3 linked regions of the Arabidopsis thaliana genome follow. The protein of the gene in region 1 interacts with the protein of each later gene in a pairwise test. Each region holds a gene or a part of one and is shown in the gene's direction. Other genes may lie near its edges.

The links.
Region 2: the proteins of KNAT5 (region 1) and BLH2 interact in a two-hybrid assay, tested with the Arabidopsis thaliana proteins (one large-scale study listed by BioGRID).
Region 3: the proteins of KNAT5 (region 1) and OFP4 interact in a two-hybrid assay, tested with the Arabidopsis thaliana proteins (one large-scale study listed by BioGRID).

The regions. Positions count from the first base shown.
Region 1 is NC_003075.7:15,491,993-15,496,913, forward strand, and holds KNAT5 (homeobox protein knotted-1-like 5), read left to right. Parts: upstream 1-1,996; 5' UTR 1,997-2,134; coding exon 2,135-2,677; intron 2,678-3,061; coding exon 3,062-3,182; intron 3,183-3,274; coding exon 3,275-3,474; intron 3,475-3,563; coding exon 3,564-3,695; intron 3,696-3,776; coding exon 3,777-3,916; coding exon of another isoform or gene 3,917-3,920; exon of another isoform or gene 3,921-4,001; coding exon 4,002-4,017; 3' UTR 4,018-4,389; downstream 4,390-4,921. Other genes in the region: AT4G32030 (uncharacterized protein), read left to right, coding at 361-417, 513-575, 655-723, 827-1,015; AT4G32050 (neurochondrin family protein), read left to right, coding at 4,628-4,823.
Region 2 is NC_003075.7:17,367,281-17,374,539, forward strand, and holds BLH2 (BEL1-like homeodomain 2), read left to right. Parts: upstream 1-1,634; 5' UTR 1,635-1,892; intron 1,893-1,898; exon of another isoform or gene 1,899-2,075; 5' UTR 2,076-2,142; coding exon 2,143-3,321; intron 3,322-4,167; coding exon 4,168-4,559; intron 4,560-5,030; coding exon 5,031-5,091; coding exon of another isoform or gene 5,092-5,115; exon of another isoform or gene 5,116-5,547; coding exon of another isoform or gene 5,548-5,607; exon of another isoform or gene 5,608-5,855; coding exon 5,856-6,443; 3' UTR 6,444-6,731; downstream 6,732-7,259. UniProt on the Arabidopsis thaliana protein: Transcription factor that establishes leaf shape by repressing growth in specific subdomains of the leaf. Negatively regulates knox homeobox gene KNAT1/BP expression.
Region 3 is NC_003070.9:2,124,148-2,127,724, reverse strand, and holds OFP4 (ovate family protein 4), read left to right. Parts: upstream 1-1,822; 5' UTR 1,823-1,923; coding exon 1,924-2,871; 3' UTR 2,872-3,049; downstream 3,050-3,577. Other genes in the region: AT1G06925 (endonuclease/glycosyl hydrolase), read left to right, coding at 1-21; AT1G06923 (transcription repressor OFP17-like protein), read right to left, coding at 327-640, 725-923.

The DNA.
Region 1 (4,921 bases):
TGTGGGTTGAAAGTTGAAACGAGTAAAATGATCTTGTCGGAGAGATTGGTATCACGTGATCTTTAAAAGAGTGATGACGATAGATGACAATGCCCATGACACGGAATAATCATGATGTGGCATCAAATCCTCACTATAAAAATTCTTTCCCAATTATATATTTGAGATTTTTTAATTTTATGCTCTATTTGGTTTCTTCGATATATTTTTCTTACTTGTTTGAAATTTCTGTTGTGGGAAAAGAAACTTTTTACCGGTATGTTAAAATAAGATCTTGGGTATTGATTATAAAAGTAAAACAGTTGTCGTTATCTTCAGCCATTTAATAGTTGACTAATCAAATGCGTTTTTGTTTTGCAGGTTTTTCCCACAAACGAAATCACCAGTTGTTTCTCCAAGAGATTGAAGAAGAGGAAGGTAAATATAAAGTCTCCTTTTTGAATTTCAAGTACACACTCCAAAATTCAAATTTTATTGAGCTGATGGTTTTTTATTCTTTTAATATTTGGCAGTCATCTTTTGAGCTTAAAAATGAAGAGAACTTGAAGTTGAAGGAGAGACTTGACCTTGAAAAGGTAGATTTTCGTTGCTATTCTCTGTTTTATTATCATGGTTTTCATTGTATTCTTAAAAAAACCCAATATTTTTCCACAGGAGATTGCAAGTCTCCGAGCAACATTCGATGAACAAAACCTTAGGAACCAAAAGCTGAAGAGGATTAAGGTAACATTTAGATTCTCCCTAACCATCTTTACAGTAATCAGATATTCCAGATCCCTTCTCTCTATTTGCTGGTCTCATCGACTCTTGTGTTTTCTTGTTTCAGCTTGACTTAAACTCAGGCCGTGTCACAAACAAGAAACCTGTTGATTTGATTCGTAAATCACAACTCGAGCGGCTACAGGGATCAAAATCTTGCAAAACCAGTGACTCGCAAAATCAGGGGAGTTTCTTCGTCCTCCCTGATCTCAACATGGCGCCATCCGAGGAAGAGATATTGTACGGAACTAGCTAAAAACTGGCCTATATGAAGATTTGCGATCGAATTATAGTGAAGGGAAGAAGGGAGCTAGAGATGTCAACTAAGAAAAGTGAATGTAATAAGTGGTGTAATGAAACTCTCCCGTCACATTCTGGTTTTCCGTTTCCTTCTTTTTTTGGGGTAAAATGCTCAATTACTTCTTGATTTTTTCTTAGGAAGAGGGTGAAAATTAGGTTTTTACTTTTTACTCCCTCCCTCCCTCCCTCTCTGTTTTCTTTAATTTGATGTGTTAGAAGAAAAAATTTGTTTTAAATAGATGGTGTTATCAATTTTTAATGCAAAATTAACTACTTTTTTTTTTCTTTCTTTCTCTTTGTACCGATTTAAAAGCTTTTGTTGGAAATTGTAAAGAGGAAAAAGTAGGACAACTAATAGACTTTTTATGTTCCAAACATTTTCTTCTTCACTATTCTCCATACATTATTATATTAAAACCCTAGTTTCCGCTCAACTAATCCAAGACAAGAAGATCTATCAATCTCTTTGGACATTCATTTTTCTACTATTTAATTTGAATTTTTATAATATAAACTTGGGAGGTGTAATGCTATTGGTGGGTTGTCGGCGTGTTCATGGAAAAAGATTCGTTTTTAAATGCCCAATAAATTTGAGAAAAAATTGCCAACTTGTTTATGAGCTTATTTTCTTTTTCATGGATCCCAAGTCTTTTGTGTATAGAGATTAAAAAAAAATGACATTCCTTCATGTAAAAAAGAAAAAAATATCTGGGTTTTAAAAATATCTACAATGAGTTTAATGGTAAATATACTTATCATAATTTGGAGAATAAAGACCTAAAGAAGAAAATTACACTCTAGAACAGAAGTTTTGTAAGCAAATCATTGCTCACAAAACTTGTGAATTACAGAATTACAGGCTCTTGTAGGTTGAGTTATTTTATGCTTCATTTTGGTTACAGGCTTTATGTTGACATTAAAACAAAGAGATTGAAGTAGAGTCCAAAAAAAAAAAAAATATATATAAATATAAAATTCAAGATTAATTAAAAAATATTGGTCTTCAGAGAGATAAATAACTAGGGGAAAGAGAAAACAGTCTTCTCTTCTCCGATCCCAAAAACGCAGGAAAACAATGTCGTTTAACAGCTCCCACCTCCTTCCTCCACAAGAAGACCTTCCTCTCCGACACTTCACCGATCAATCACAGCAACCTCCGCCGCAGCGTCACTTCTCTGAAACACCTTCGCTTGTCACCGCCAGTTTCCTCAACCTCCCTACCACCCTTACCACTGCGGATTCCGATCTCGCTCCTCCGCACCGCAACGGAGACAATTCCGTTGCTGATACAAACCCACGCTGGCTCTCCTTTCATTCGGAGATGCAAAATACTGGAGAAGTACGTTCTGAAGTTATCGACGGAGTCAACGCCGATGGTGAAACGATACTCGGCGTTGTAGGAGGTGAAGATTGGCGGAGTGCTAGCTATAAGGCGGCGATTTTAAGACATCCGATGTACGAGCAGCTTCTTGCGGCTCACGTGGCTTGCCTTAGGGTTGCGACTCCCGTTGACCAGATTCCGAGGATCGATGCTCAGCTCAGTCAGTTGCATACCGTCGCCGCGAAATACTCCACTCTTGGTGTGGTTGTTGACAACAAGGAACTTGATCATTTCATGGTAAGTTTCACTTTCTAATTTTGCAAAATTTTAATGTTTTGAACTGTGAACGATTCAGCCATTTATTTCTCTTTGATTATCTGAGTATAGCAAATTCACATTTTTGTGTGGCTCATTGTTCCCGCTTCTCGAGTCTTGCAATCGATATGATCTTTGCTTCTACTTTTTTGGTTAGCTTGTAATTCGAATTATGAACTTTGTCTGACTCAAATAAGTTATATTTGTTGCATAAAGCTTCTTCTTTGATGACTAATAGTTTGTCTGATTCTTGCTGAAAAGGACTTTGCATGTCCAAGAGAAAGAAAGCATAATCTATTTTTTGTAACGTTCTGTTTGTATGTCTTATGGATTGGAATCTTACCTTTGATTATTATGTTGATGCAGTCACATTATGTTGTCTTGTTATGTTCATTTAAAGAACAACTCCAACACCACGTTTGTGTCCATGCAATGGAAGCCATTACGGCTTGTTGGGAGATTGAACAATCACTGCAATCCCTAACTGGTAACGTCCCAAATCATTTTTTTTTTTTGTTATTGTCTTCTTGCTTTATGTGTGTCTTGGTTTTATCGGTTTTTCTTTGTTCTGGTTTGTAGGAGTTTCTCCAAGTGAAAGTAATGGTAAGACAATGTCGGATGATGAAGATGATAATCAAGTAGAGAGCGAGGTGAACATGTTTGATGGAAGTTTGGACGGTTCAGATTGCTTGATGGGGTTTGGTCCTCTTGTTCCAACCGAGAGAGAGAGATCTTTGATGGAACGTGTGAAGAAAGAACTGAAGCATGAGCTTAAACAGGTAATTGCTTGATCAAGCTGCAATGGTACATCAAACTATACAAAACACATTGTTAAATCATGTTGCTCGGTTTCTTTTTTCCCCTGTAGGGTTTCAAAGAGAAGATTGTGGACATAAGAGAAGAGATAATGAGGAAGAGAAGGGCGGGAAAGTTGCCAGGAGATACGACTTCTGTACTCAAAGAATGGTGGCGAACTCACTCGAAATGGCCATACCCAACTGTAAACACCTTGGCCGAGAAGTTTTGTTACCACATTGTCAAAAGCAAGGTTTTAATTCGTGATTTGGTTTTGGAATTGCAGGAGGAAGATAAGGCAAAACTGGTTCAAGAAACCGGTTTGCAGTTGAAACAGATCAACAATTGGTTCATCAACCAGAGGAAAAGAAACTGGAACAGCAACTCTTCCACGTCATCTACTCTCACCAAGAACAAACGTAAACGGTAAAACAAGATCCGTTCTCTTTTTCAAATTGCGCAATTTCATTAAACCAACCCGGTCAAGATCTTCTTTTGTAACCAAACTCAGGACCGGGAAGTCGTAGGTGACATAGCGGCTAACTAGAGGATGGTTCTTTGCCATGTGAATTCTTGGGAACCGTATATGAAAGAAACGAATCCGGTTCTATGCTCGTACAGAGTGTGTTATTTGTATAGTGGATACCGGTTAGCCTATGAAACCGGATTCTGGAGTCCAAATTGTTGTTTGTAACGACTTAGTAGTTTTTGGAAGTGATCTGTTTCGTTGGTTTGCGTCTTGTAACGAACGCTTAAGCAAGTGTGGGTTTTTTCTTGTAAAGTGTCAATATGTTCGTTTGTAATGAATGTATCAAGCAATATTTATCATAATTAAACTAGCTTGAAATGTAGTATTACGATGTTGTTGTGTTCGTCTGATTTCTCTCACCGGTTGATGCATGGTTACGTTCGGCTCGGTTTTTATATGGTTCAATTTTTAATATATCGATAATTTTAAATGATTTCACTTGTATTATTAACAAAGCCCATTGGTATTTGGCCCAAAATCTGAATGCCGACTTAATGACTTGTTTCTTCTTCCTTCAGCTTCTCCAACGAACGGCTTTTGTTTTAGTTTTTTTTGCTTACCTTTCTCTCGACTTGGTCTACTTTTGTTACTCTTTGAGTTGGGTGATTATGGCAGCAGCACCACAGGAGGAACGATCTCCGTCGCTTGACGATTGCCTTAAGCTATTGAAAGGGGAGAGAGACGAGCAGAGGCTCGCCGGTCTACTTCTCGTCACCAAATTCTGTAAGAACGATGACATCGTTTCTCTCAACAAGGTCTACGAAGCCGTTGGTACTCACTTTCTCGACCGTCTTTTCCGTACTGGTAATCAAAACCCCGAATTATTGATCTTTGTCTCAGTAAATACTAATATCAATTTTGGGGTTTCTACAAAGTGTGAATTTTTTAGTTGAGATACTAAA
Region 2 (7,259 bases), 1.9 Mb from region 1:
TTATTTTATTTTATTTTAATTACTACTCCGACATGAATTAACTGTGTAAAAATAAAAAATAAAAAATAACAGAATTTGCGTGCTGATATGATTTTGACATGAAAGATTCCCACATGGTGTCACACAATAAACAAAATTCAATGTTATTATATAAGTGGAGTTACACTTGTGCTTTCGACATTTCCATTAATTATTTATCCCAATATGGACTTATGCCTACGGTGCGATATCTAATACTTTCTCTAACCATTTGTGGGATATGCACCAAAACTCGAATTTGGGAATGCTATTTTTTTAGCAAGACAGACGTGATACGAAATATGTCACCGCTTTAAGAAAGAAATTCCGATATCTATATATTAACCATGGAATTAAAAATATAGTCTAGCCATACCAAAAAAAGAAACTCAAGTACTCGAACTCAAAGCTGTTGAACCAAAAAAACGGTTATGTGTCGATTTCATCGGTTTTCTAGATTATCCCCCACATAAACCTAATTAACATTTTGAGCACTTGACTTCTGAACCGTCCTCCTACCTTTCACACGTTCCAAACCACAACTCCCGCTCGTGCGAACTCTCATCTTTTATTGTTTATTTGATACACCAAACAAAAAAAATGCACACCGAATTTCATTACATTATCCTTCAAGCCATTCATAGTTACATCGTACTCGACCCTCAAGTAGTAAAATTTAATTTATGATCACAAGATCGATGGCCGGAAAAAATAGTTTGAATATATACTTTTTCTAGCCTTTGCATTATTTTGCATGAGTATTATTACTTCGGCCATGCTAATTGTTAGAAAATACAGCTTACATTTTATTTAACACTGTATTGGTATATATGTATGTGGGATATATTATGTTATCATTAGAAAATGCTAATTAATATGTAACTAATTTGTCATTTCCCTGAAAAGTCGATTGGAAGGGATAATTAACTTGTGGTTAGAACTTAAAATCAATTGATTATATGAGATTAATTTGTTGTGGTGTTGTGATTACGACCAGTCGTACGGAGTTTTAGAGAGTCATATTCTCGCATAAAGTAAGTAAATTCAATTTTGATGTAGTAGAAAAAAAAAATTAACAAACGTTAAGAAGATTTTTTTTTTTTTTATGAAGTTTTTTATTTACGAAGATCTTTTAGGGTATTCCAGGTTAAGATAATAGAGATATGCTACATTTAAAATAAATGTGTAGACTTTAAATTATGCTGATGAGGACTGGGGAGCTATGCACCAACAATGACCAGTTACGTAAATATGGACTTAATTGACCCTATCTGCGAGTCAGTCCAGTGAAATCAGAAGAATGACAGATGAGGGTATTATGGGAAATATAAATATGGCAGTATTTTAAATATTATATATGTTTTTTTTTTTTGTCACGATAGTATTACTAAAATTTATGGTGGTGGTTCGTATCATTGAGATATGACCTTGTACTCACTTAAAAAAAAAAAAAAAAAATTACGAAAATAAACATCTTCAAATTGTTAATGGCAGAAGACATTTACGTGAAAAAAAGACGCATCTTAGAAATTTCTATCCTTCAATCCTACTATTAACCTTTTCAACTAAATCTTTCATAAGAAACCATAGTTTAAAAAATCACCGATTTTTTTTTTGCACGAGCAGCTTTATATATATATAGGAAACCAACTAATAAAGAAGATTGGTGGGCTAAAAAGGGTGACGAAGAAGAAAGAAGAGTGACCTCTCTCTCGCATATTTTTCTTTCCGATATATATATCTTTTATAATATTTGTGAATTCTGAATAAACTCTTAGTAAGAAAGAAAAGGAGAGTCCAGAAAAAGAAAGCGAGAAAGAGAGAGAGAAAACGATACCTAAGCTCAATTATCTTCTCTGCAACAAACTCCAAAGGTATTATCTTCTTATGCTCTCTCTTTGCATACATACATATATATAGATACCTACATATATATATCTCTATGTCTTTGTTCATCATCAGTTATATAGGTGATGTAGATAGATGGACAAAAAAACAGCGTAAGACCTAGTTTCTGACTTACATATGTTTTAAATTCTTTGTCTGAATCATTACAGGATCCGAGAGAGAGAGCTCTGGAACGATATTAACATATATCATGAAGAAAAAGATTGAAGTATTGATATGGGAATAACTAAAACTTCTCCTAATACTACAATTCTCTTGAAGACTTTTCACAATAATTCTATGTCCCAAGATTATCATCATCATCATCATCATAATCAACACCAAGGAGGTATCTTCAACTTCTCTAATGGATTCGACCGATCAGATTCTCCCAATTTAACAACTCAGCAGAAGCAAGAGCATCAAAGGGTAGAGATGGACGAGGAATCTTCAGTCGCCGGAGGTAGGATTCCGGTCTACGAATCAGCCGGTATGTTATCCGAAATGTTTAATTTCCCCGGAAGCAGCGGTGGAGGAAGAGATCTCGACCTCGGCCAATCTTTCCGGTCAAATAGGCAGTTGCTTGAGGAGCAACATCAGAATATTCCGGCTATGAATGCTACGGATTCAGCCACCGCCACCGCAGCCGCCATGCAGTTATTCTTGATGAATCCACCGCCACCGCAACAACCACCGTCTCCGTCATCCACAACTTCCCCAAGGAGCCACCACAATTCTTCAACTCTTCACATGTTACTTCCAAGTCCATCCACCAACACAACTCACCATCAGAACTACACTAATCATATGTCTATGCATCAGCTTCCACATCAGCATCACCAGCAGATATCGACGTGGCAGTCTTCTCCCGATCATCATCATCATCATCACAACAGCCAAACGGAGATTGGGACCGTCCACGTGGAAAACAGCGGAGGACACGGAGGACAAGGCTTGTCCTTATCTCTCTCATCGTCTTTAGAGGCTGCAGCAAAAGCGGAAGAGTATAGAAACATTTACTACGGAGCCAATTCTTCTAACGCATCACCTCATCATCAATACAATCAATTCAAGACTCTTCTTGCTAATTCTTCTCAACATCACCATCAAGTATTAAACCAATTCCGATCATCTCCGGCTGCTTCTTCCTCTTCCATGGCAGCGGTCAATATCTTAAGAAACTCGAGGTACACAACGGCCGCGCAAGAGTTGTTGGAAGAGTTTTGTAGTGTTGGAAGAGGATTTTTGAAGAAGAACAAACTTGGGAACAGCTCAAACCCTAATACTTGCGGTGGTGATGGTGGTGGCAGCTCTCCTTCGTCGGCCGGAGCAAACAAGGAGCATCCTCCTTTATCGGCGTCTGATCGGATTGAGCATCAAAGAAGGAAAGTGAAACTACTCACCATGCTTGAAGAGGTATGTTCATATTAACTTTTAATATTGATTTTGACTTTGTCTATACTCTACAGTGATATTAGTTCATACATTTTACGTAAAATTGTTTTCGTTACATTTCGATAAGATTCATAAATTGATCCAAGAGTTATGACAAAGAAACAAGAAACCTGATATGACTGAATTGGTCTTTTGTTTTCTCGATTAACTACTTATTTTTGATTATTTTGGTAGAGTTTGATTGCGCAATCCTACCATCATTTGTTTAAAATTAAAATTAATTTAATCATTTTGCTCGTGTGACGGTCGTATTAGAAAGTATATTGAATATTTTGATGCTTAGCGTTTGGTGGAATCGATTAATCAAAGAAAATGCATTAAATAATTACGATTAATTATGTAATTGGCGTTTCCTTCTCCATATAAGCTACTCTCCAGTTACGTCCTAAAGCTAACCCTTGACGTTACTTATTTGTTTACCCATAATTGAATTATCTACTTTTTAGTTGACCTTGCTTTTTTCTCACTAGAAATAAATATTTTAGTTTATGCTCGAGGATACGATAAAATGTGCTGTTGGTAGGATTGCGCAAACATTGAAGTATATTCTCTGGTCAATAATTTGTCTATATAATATCTTATTTTCTTATTTTGTCTCGTTTAAAGGTAACTAATTAATCTCATTAGTTTATTTATTAGATGATGCTCGTACACAAGCATAGGTTCCCGTGATAAAATCTACACTAAATAATAATCACGTGAACATATAACACAACACACACGAGTTAACAATAACATTAATTAAAAGAAAAAGGCAAATATTGATATTTATGGATTGTATAATGTATAGTTTTGTTTCGTTGGCAGGTGGACCGACGGTACAACCATTACTGCGAGCAAATGCAGATGGTTGTGAACTCTTTCGACATAGTAATGGGCCACGGTGCGGCATTACCGTACACCGCATTGGCTCAAAAAGCTATGTCAAGACATTTTAGATGCCTTAAAGATGCAGTTGCGGCTCAGCTTAAGCAGAGTTGCGAACTTCTTGGGGACAAAGATGCAGCGGGAATCTCTTCTTCCGGGTTAACAAAAGGTGAAACTCCGCGTTTGCGTTTGCTAGAGCAAAGTTTGCGTCAGAACCGTGCGTTTCATCAAATGGGTATGATGGAACAAGAAGCTTGGCGGCCACAACGCGGTTTGCCTGAACGCTCCGTCAATATACTTAGAGCTTGGCTCTTCGAACATTTCCTTCACCCGTAAGTCAATTTTTTCTTTCTTTCTCGTTATTTATTAATTATTATAGAGAAACTGAATTTTGAAAAAAGCTGAGAAAAAGTATTTATTTTCTCGTTATTTCACCTCTACTTTCTTTAGTACTATGTCTCTAGAATTTTGCTATTTTATTGTTAACGAGAGTGAACGAAAAAATGGAAATAAAGCAAAAGAGTAGTGTTTTTGTACTATTTTCACCTCTCTGACAAATTGCTTTAAGAGTAAAACAAAACAAAAAAAGCCAAGTAAAAAAAAAAAAACTGGATCGATGATATGTAATCATCAACTTTTCTTTTGTCTGTTAGATTCTCACGCCCTTGTTAGGAAAAAGTCTGTACTTTTTCTTGCGTCTACTTGATTGTATTGTATATAGTGAAAAGATAAAGAAAATAAATTACATTGAGTTTATTAGGGCAAAGATAGAGAGTGATGTCATTTTCTGGTCTCTTTCTCAGGTATCCAAGTGATGCAGATAAACACCTATTGGCTCGACAGACTGGTTTATCCAGAAATCAGGTCAGTCTACATATATACATATAGCCAACGATATAATGAAATTTAAAATCTCCATGAATCAAATACATATGCCTCTACTTCACCAAGTTGTGTTAGCTGAGTATACTCTTAATCAGACAATCAAATGACCACAGTCTGGATTACGAATTCTTAACCGCGTGTTTTAAAGATTTGTTTTAAACCCATCATTCTATGTTTATAAATAAACTCCACAATAGTACACAGTTATATATATAACTACAATATTAATTTATCACCCAAACCCATTTCATAATTTTCATAAACATATACATGCTTGTTATAAACATCAAATAATAAATACTAGTAGTTACTCAAAACGAATTTGACTAAGCCAAAATTATTTGACACCATGTACGAGTACACTAACTAGTAGCCTGAGATGACTCTATTGCATGGTTTTTGTTTCTTATCTTTGTTTGGTTTGTGATATGACAGAGGAACACCATGTGTTTTGCCTTCCACTCACCATTAGCTTTTCTTGGGATTCGTCTTTAAATTATTATAGCATATTTATATATACAAAAACATAGGAGAGAGAGAAAGAGATCGACATTAAAGACGCAAAAGGGTCCATTTTTCCTCAAGTACATCAAAGTTTGCAGCTTTCAATTGTCCCAAAGAAACCCTCAATTTCTTGTATCCCTACATTAAATAACCAAATGACAAATAAACAAAAAGAGCCCTCAATTTTATTTCGATATTATAATGATTCAACTAGTGAAAATTTTGTCTCTTTTATTCAGGTATCAAATTGGTTCATAAATGCTAGGGTTCGTTTATGGAAACCAATGGTGGAAGAAATGTACCAACAAGAATCAAAAGAAAGAGAAAGAGAAGAGGAATTAGAAGAGAACGAAGAAGATCAAGAAACAAAAAACAGCAACGACGACAAGAGCACAAAATCCAACAACAATGAAAGCAACTTCACTGCCGTTCGGACCACTTCACAAACTCCAACGACAACCGCACCAGACGCATCAGACGCAGACGCAGCAGTAGCGACAGGCCACCGTCTAAGATCCAACATTAATGCTTACGAAAACGACGCTTCATCACTTCTACTCCCTTCCTCTTATTCCAACGCCGCCGCTCCTGCCGCTGTTTCTGACGACTTGAATTCTCGTTACGGTGGCTCAGACGCGTTTTCCGCCGTTGCCACGTGTCAACAAAGTGTAGGTGGGTTCGATGATGCTGACATGGATGGTGTTAACGTTATAAGGTTTGGGACAAACCCTACTGGTGACGTGTCTCTCACGCTTGGTTTACGCCACGCTGGAAACATGCCTGACAAAGACGCTTCTTTCTGCGTTAGAGAGTTTGGGGGTTTTTAGTTTGCTTTTGTCACTCCATTTAATTAATTAATTATAGTTTCCATTCTTACTTATTTTAATTGAAAATCTATTTTTGTCTCTTAAAAGTCAAAACAATACATTAGTCTAGCCCTCCTCTGCTTTTTTTTTTCTATCTCGTGAAGAGAAGAAAACGATACGTAAATCCCTTCGAAAACTAATGTACGTTGTACGACTTATTGTTTTCATATATCTGTATTCTTGGTTATTTAATTTCTCGAGATTTCTTTAATTGTTCAAAATGAAAACCTTCACTTTATAACATAACAGTCCCAAATCGTTCGAAATCACTGATTTACAATCATATAGATTCACTTACCATGAATCCATGATACAAGCTTGAAGAGGTGACCCAATTGTTTGGGCCATCAATAAGGAAAGTGATAGGCCCAAAATTCTTTTATTGGGCTTTAGCGTATCTGTTTTTGTATAGATATCACACAAGTTTCTATAGATGTGTTCAGTGTTCATGCAGTTTTTTATAAATTTCTCACCGACATTTCTAGATATGACTAAAATGAATTTATGAACATGCGGCTTAAACCTTATTTTATCAGATCACTTAGTTAACATCTAGAGCAGGTGAAAACAAGAAGAAAAACAAATGTTGTTTTTGAGGTGCATAATGAAAATTGATGAGAAGAAGATTGAGGAGAAGTAGAAGAAACCGACTTTTGTTATGTTGTTAGTTGGATGAAGGAGTGAAAACCAATGGCTCTTAAGAAATATATCATTTTATTATATTTCTCTTAATACATAAAACAAGCAAACAATCTTTCTTTGAATAAAAAAGAAATT
Region 3 (3,577 bases), on another chromosome or scaffold:
GACGACGAGGCTCCCCCTTGATTATTTTCCGGAGAAATAATGCCTACTACCATTGGTGAGGGAAGAAGCAACCAAACCTTGAGATTTCTCATCTTTTGAATTCTGGGGTTTACCGGAAATCTTGGTAAATAGAAATGTGAAATGTACCATCCTTTAATAATCTTTTCTTATTATCTTTTATTTCCGTGATTTAATGTAGTAAAATCAAGTTCCTGTCACTTGAAGTTGTACAACTTACAAAAAAAAAACAGAACACAGAGAAAGCTACTCTGTATCCAATGCTCTGTGTTATCATGCATATATTATAAAACCCATTTCAATGATCTTTAATCGTCATGGTCGCTTGGAAACAGGTCAGTGCAGAGCTCTCCATAGAATCTAGTCACAAGATCAATGAAGATTGGACTATTAAGATTCTTCCAATAATAGAGAAGCTCTTCCATGTCCATCAAGTCATCTATTTTCCCATCTTCAACGAACATATGGATCATATAGTTCTCGAATCTTCTGCAAGCCTCTTTCACACCATCTTCCTTTAACATATGTCTTTGACTCGTCCTCGCTTTCTTGTTCCTTTGCGTCATAGCCAAAGGAAACATCTTTCTTGAATGCAGAAGCTTGGAATCATCGATCAGACTAGCTGCAGTGGCATATTTGTAGAATAAAATTTAGATCAAAGGTACTCTATAAAATCGACAATAGTTACAAAAGAAATTGTTGTTACACGGGGAATTTCTGGGTCTGATCTGGCTCATCCTCTGCTCCTTATTAGTATTGAGAAAACAGAGACGAGACAACAAAGAAGATGATGAAGATTGTGTGGTATTGACATTGCGAAAACGAGCATGGAAGAAGGAGATGAATCTGTTGCATGATTTTGAAAGCTTTGATTTCAAGCTAATCAAACTTGACTTCAGTCTCATTCTCGATCCTTCCGAAGCTGATTTATTCTTTGTTGTTGTTGTTGTGGTATAATGTGTAGGTTTGGGAGGGTGGTTCGAGTTACGTGGGTTTCACGTCTTTTCCTTTGACACGAAGTCGTGATGGTGGAGTCCCATGAACTTGAGCCTTAATTTGAATGTTTTTTGCAAATTTAATTTTAAGCTATAATCTGACCTAGATATTGTCACATTATGAGTAGGAGGAGTGGGTAAATATATCGGTGTTTACTGGGATCAGTAGTAGTCGTTAGGGTTGTGACTGACCCCGCTCGTTTGTCGAACCCTAGCTTCAAATATGAGTCGTTGACCCAAAAAAAAAAAGCTTTGGTCAAACACACACGTGTGAGGTAGGGAGACCACAAGCTAATTGGTGAAAAGGAGACGACACGCCGAGTTTTATGCAAATATGTCTTTTATTATTCTCTACAGTTTCTTCTACACCATTATTGTTATATACTATGACTATGGCTATATTAAGAGATTGGACATGAACCTGAAATCTTGTTTAACCTCTTTTGTTGAAACCCTTTGTCACGTTCGCCGAATTATGTTTTGGAAGCAATTTACCAGAAATATTCTATTTAGTCTAATTGATACCCACCAATCGACCTACTACCGACAGACAATTTTTGAGGACACTTTGTTGCTCAATTTTCAAGTCTAATAAAACCTTTTAATTCTCAATCTCATCTACGTACACCTCAATTATTTCGATTACACCGGTTTAGATAGGATATTTTATTTAAATTTGATTTGATTTGGTTTAACTTGGTTATTCGGTTAGGGAGAGAAGCCGGAATGAGTTTGGTACAAACAAAGACATTCTATGAAGTGGATCCCAATTTTGTTCCGTCTTGTCCCTTTTACATCCCAATTCTACACTTTCTTCTCTCTTTTATTTGTCACATAGAAACTCTGCAAACTATACATATTTTTTTTCTCTCTTTTATCTGAGAAGATCACTTATTTTTTGAAATTAGAGATGAGGAACTATAAGTTAAGATTGTCAGTTATGAGCCCAAGTGAATGGTTCCACAAGCTCAAGAACATGACAAAACCTAGAAAAAAGCATTCTCTTCCTCTTTACTCCATAAACACTACCAAGAAGAGAAAACCTTCCTCTGAGTCAAAGTCTCTTCCTTACTCTTCAACTTCTTACTTCTTCAATAGGTCACGCTCACGCACATCCTTTGAATCTAGGATCCTTCAAATTTCACCAAGAAACTCTCTTCACAACATACAGAGCAAAAGAAAGACTGTTTACAAGCCTTCTCCTCCTTCCTCTTCTATTGTATCTGCAGGTTTTAACAAAACATTTCATCAAAGCCATGATTCTCTCTCTGCCTCTTCCAACTTGAAAGTCATTTCTTCTGAAGATGATATTATCATCGACATGAATAATAGAGATTTCAAGAAGAAAACTTTCAAAGAGATCACGAAGTTTGATTCAACGGAGAAAGCCTGTCGTGCAAGTAACCGAACCAAGGAAACACATATACCTCATCATCTCTCTGTGAAGGTCAGTAAAGAGAAAGAAGATGAAGAGGAAGATGCATGTCGAACCAAGAAGAAACATCAGAAAACATTAGTTTCTAGTGGAAGAAGATCATCAGCTAAATCTCCAAGGATAAAGCTCAGAGCGAGATCTCCTAGAATTCAAGTCTCGCCTCGTAGAAGCAAATCAAGATCACAGAACAAACAAATTCTTGACAGTTTTGCAGTAATCAAGAGTTCTATCGATCCGAGCAAGGATTTCAGAGAATCAATGGTGGAGATGATAGCAGAGAACAACATCAGAACCTCTAACGACATGGAGGATCTTCTAGTATGTTACCTTACCTTGAATCCCAAGGAGTATCATGATCTCATTATCAAGGTTTTCGTTCAAGTCTGGCTTGAAGTCATAAACTCTACATTTGCATCGAAGTAGAATGAACTATGATCAAAAGCTTTAAATCTCTGGTTAATTGTAGTTCTTTTAAAGAGTTTGATGTAGCCGTGGAGATTTTCTTTGCAAGACCAGTTTTTGTGTTGTCTGAATAACGTGATAAAGACATATAAATCACTCGCTTCCTTTTCGTCTCTGGTTATGGTTTGTGAAGGTAATAGAACATACTTATTCAGTAATTTAAAAATCAGTAACTAAAACATACTTATTCAATACATGCCTCATGGATGATAATAATTCAATTTTAGAATTAAAATGTGAAACAGTATGTGCTGCTAAATGTTTATGTGATATTTTCAGAAACAATATACAAATCCAAAGAGTTTTATTATATTAGTTTCATGTAGTGATAAACCTTGGATTAGATTAGGATTGATGGAGTTTAGTCATGGTAACGACTTATGTAACAAGAGCGAAAATGTCAAAAGAAAAAAAAAAGAGTCAAGAAAAGGCCAAAAGTGTAGTGACAAGAAGCCACACGGAGACAAGTCAGAAACCCATCAAGTACGGAGTAGAAATGGGTTCCAGTCCTAATGAGTAATGAAGCAGGAAACATGAAAATGGAGCCTGAATAACATAAATCGCTAGAGAGAGAAACTAACACTGACACAGAAGAGTATATGGTTAAAGAGGAAAAGCAGAGAGAGAGTTTTAAGAACCTAAAGGCTCTTTGTTGTCGTGATGAAGA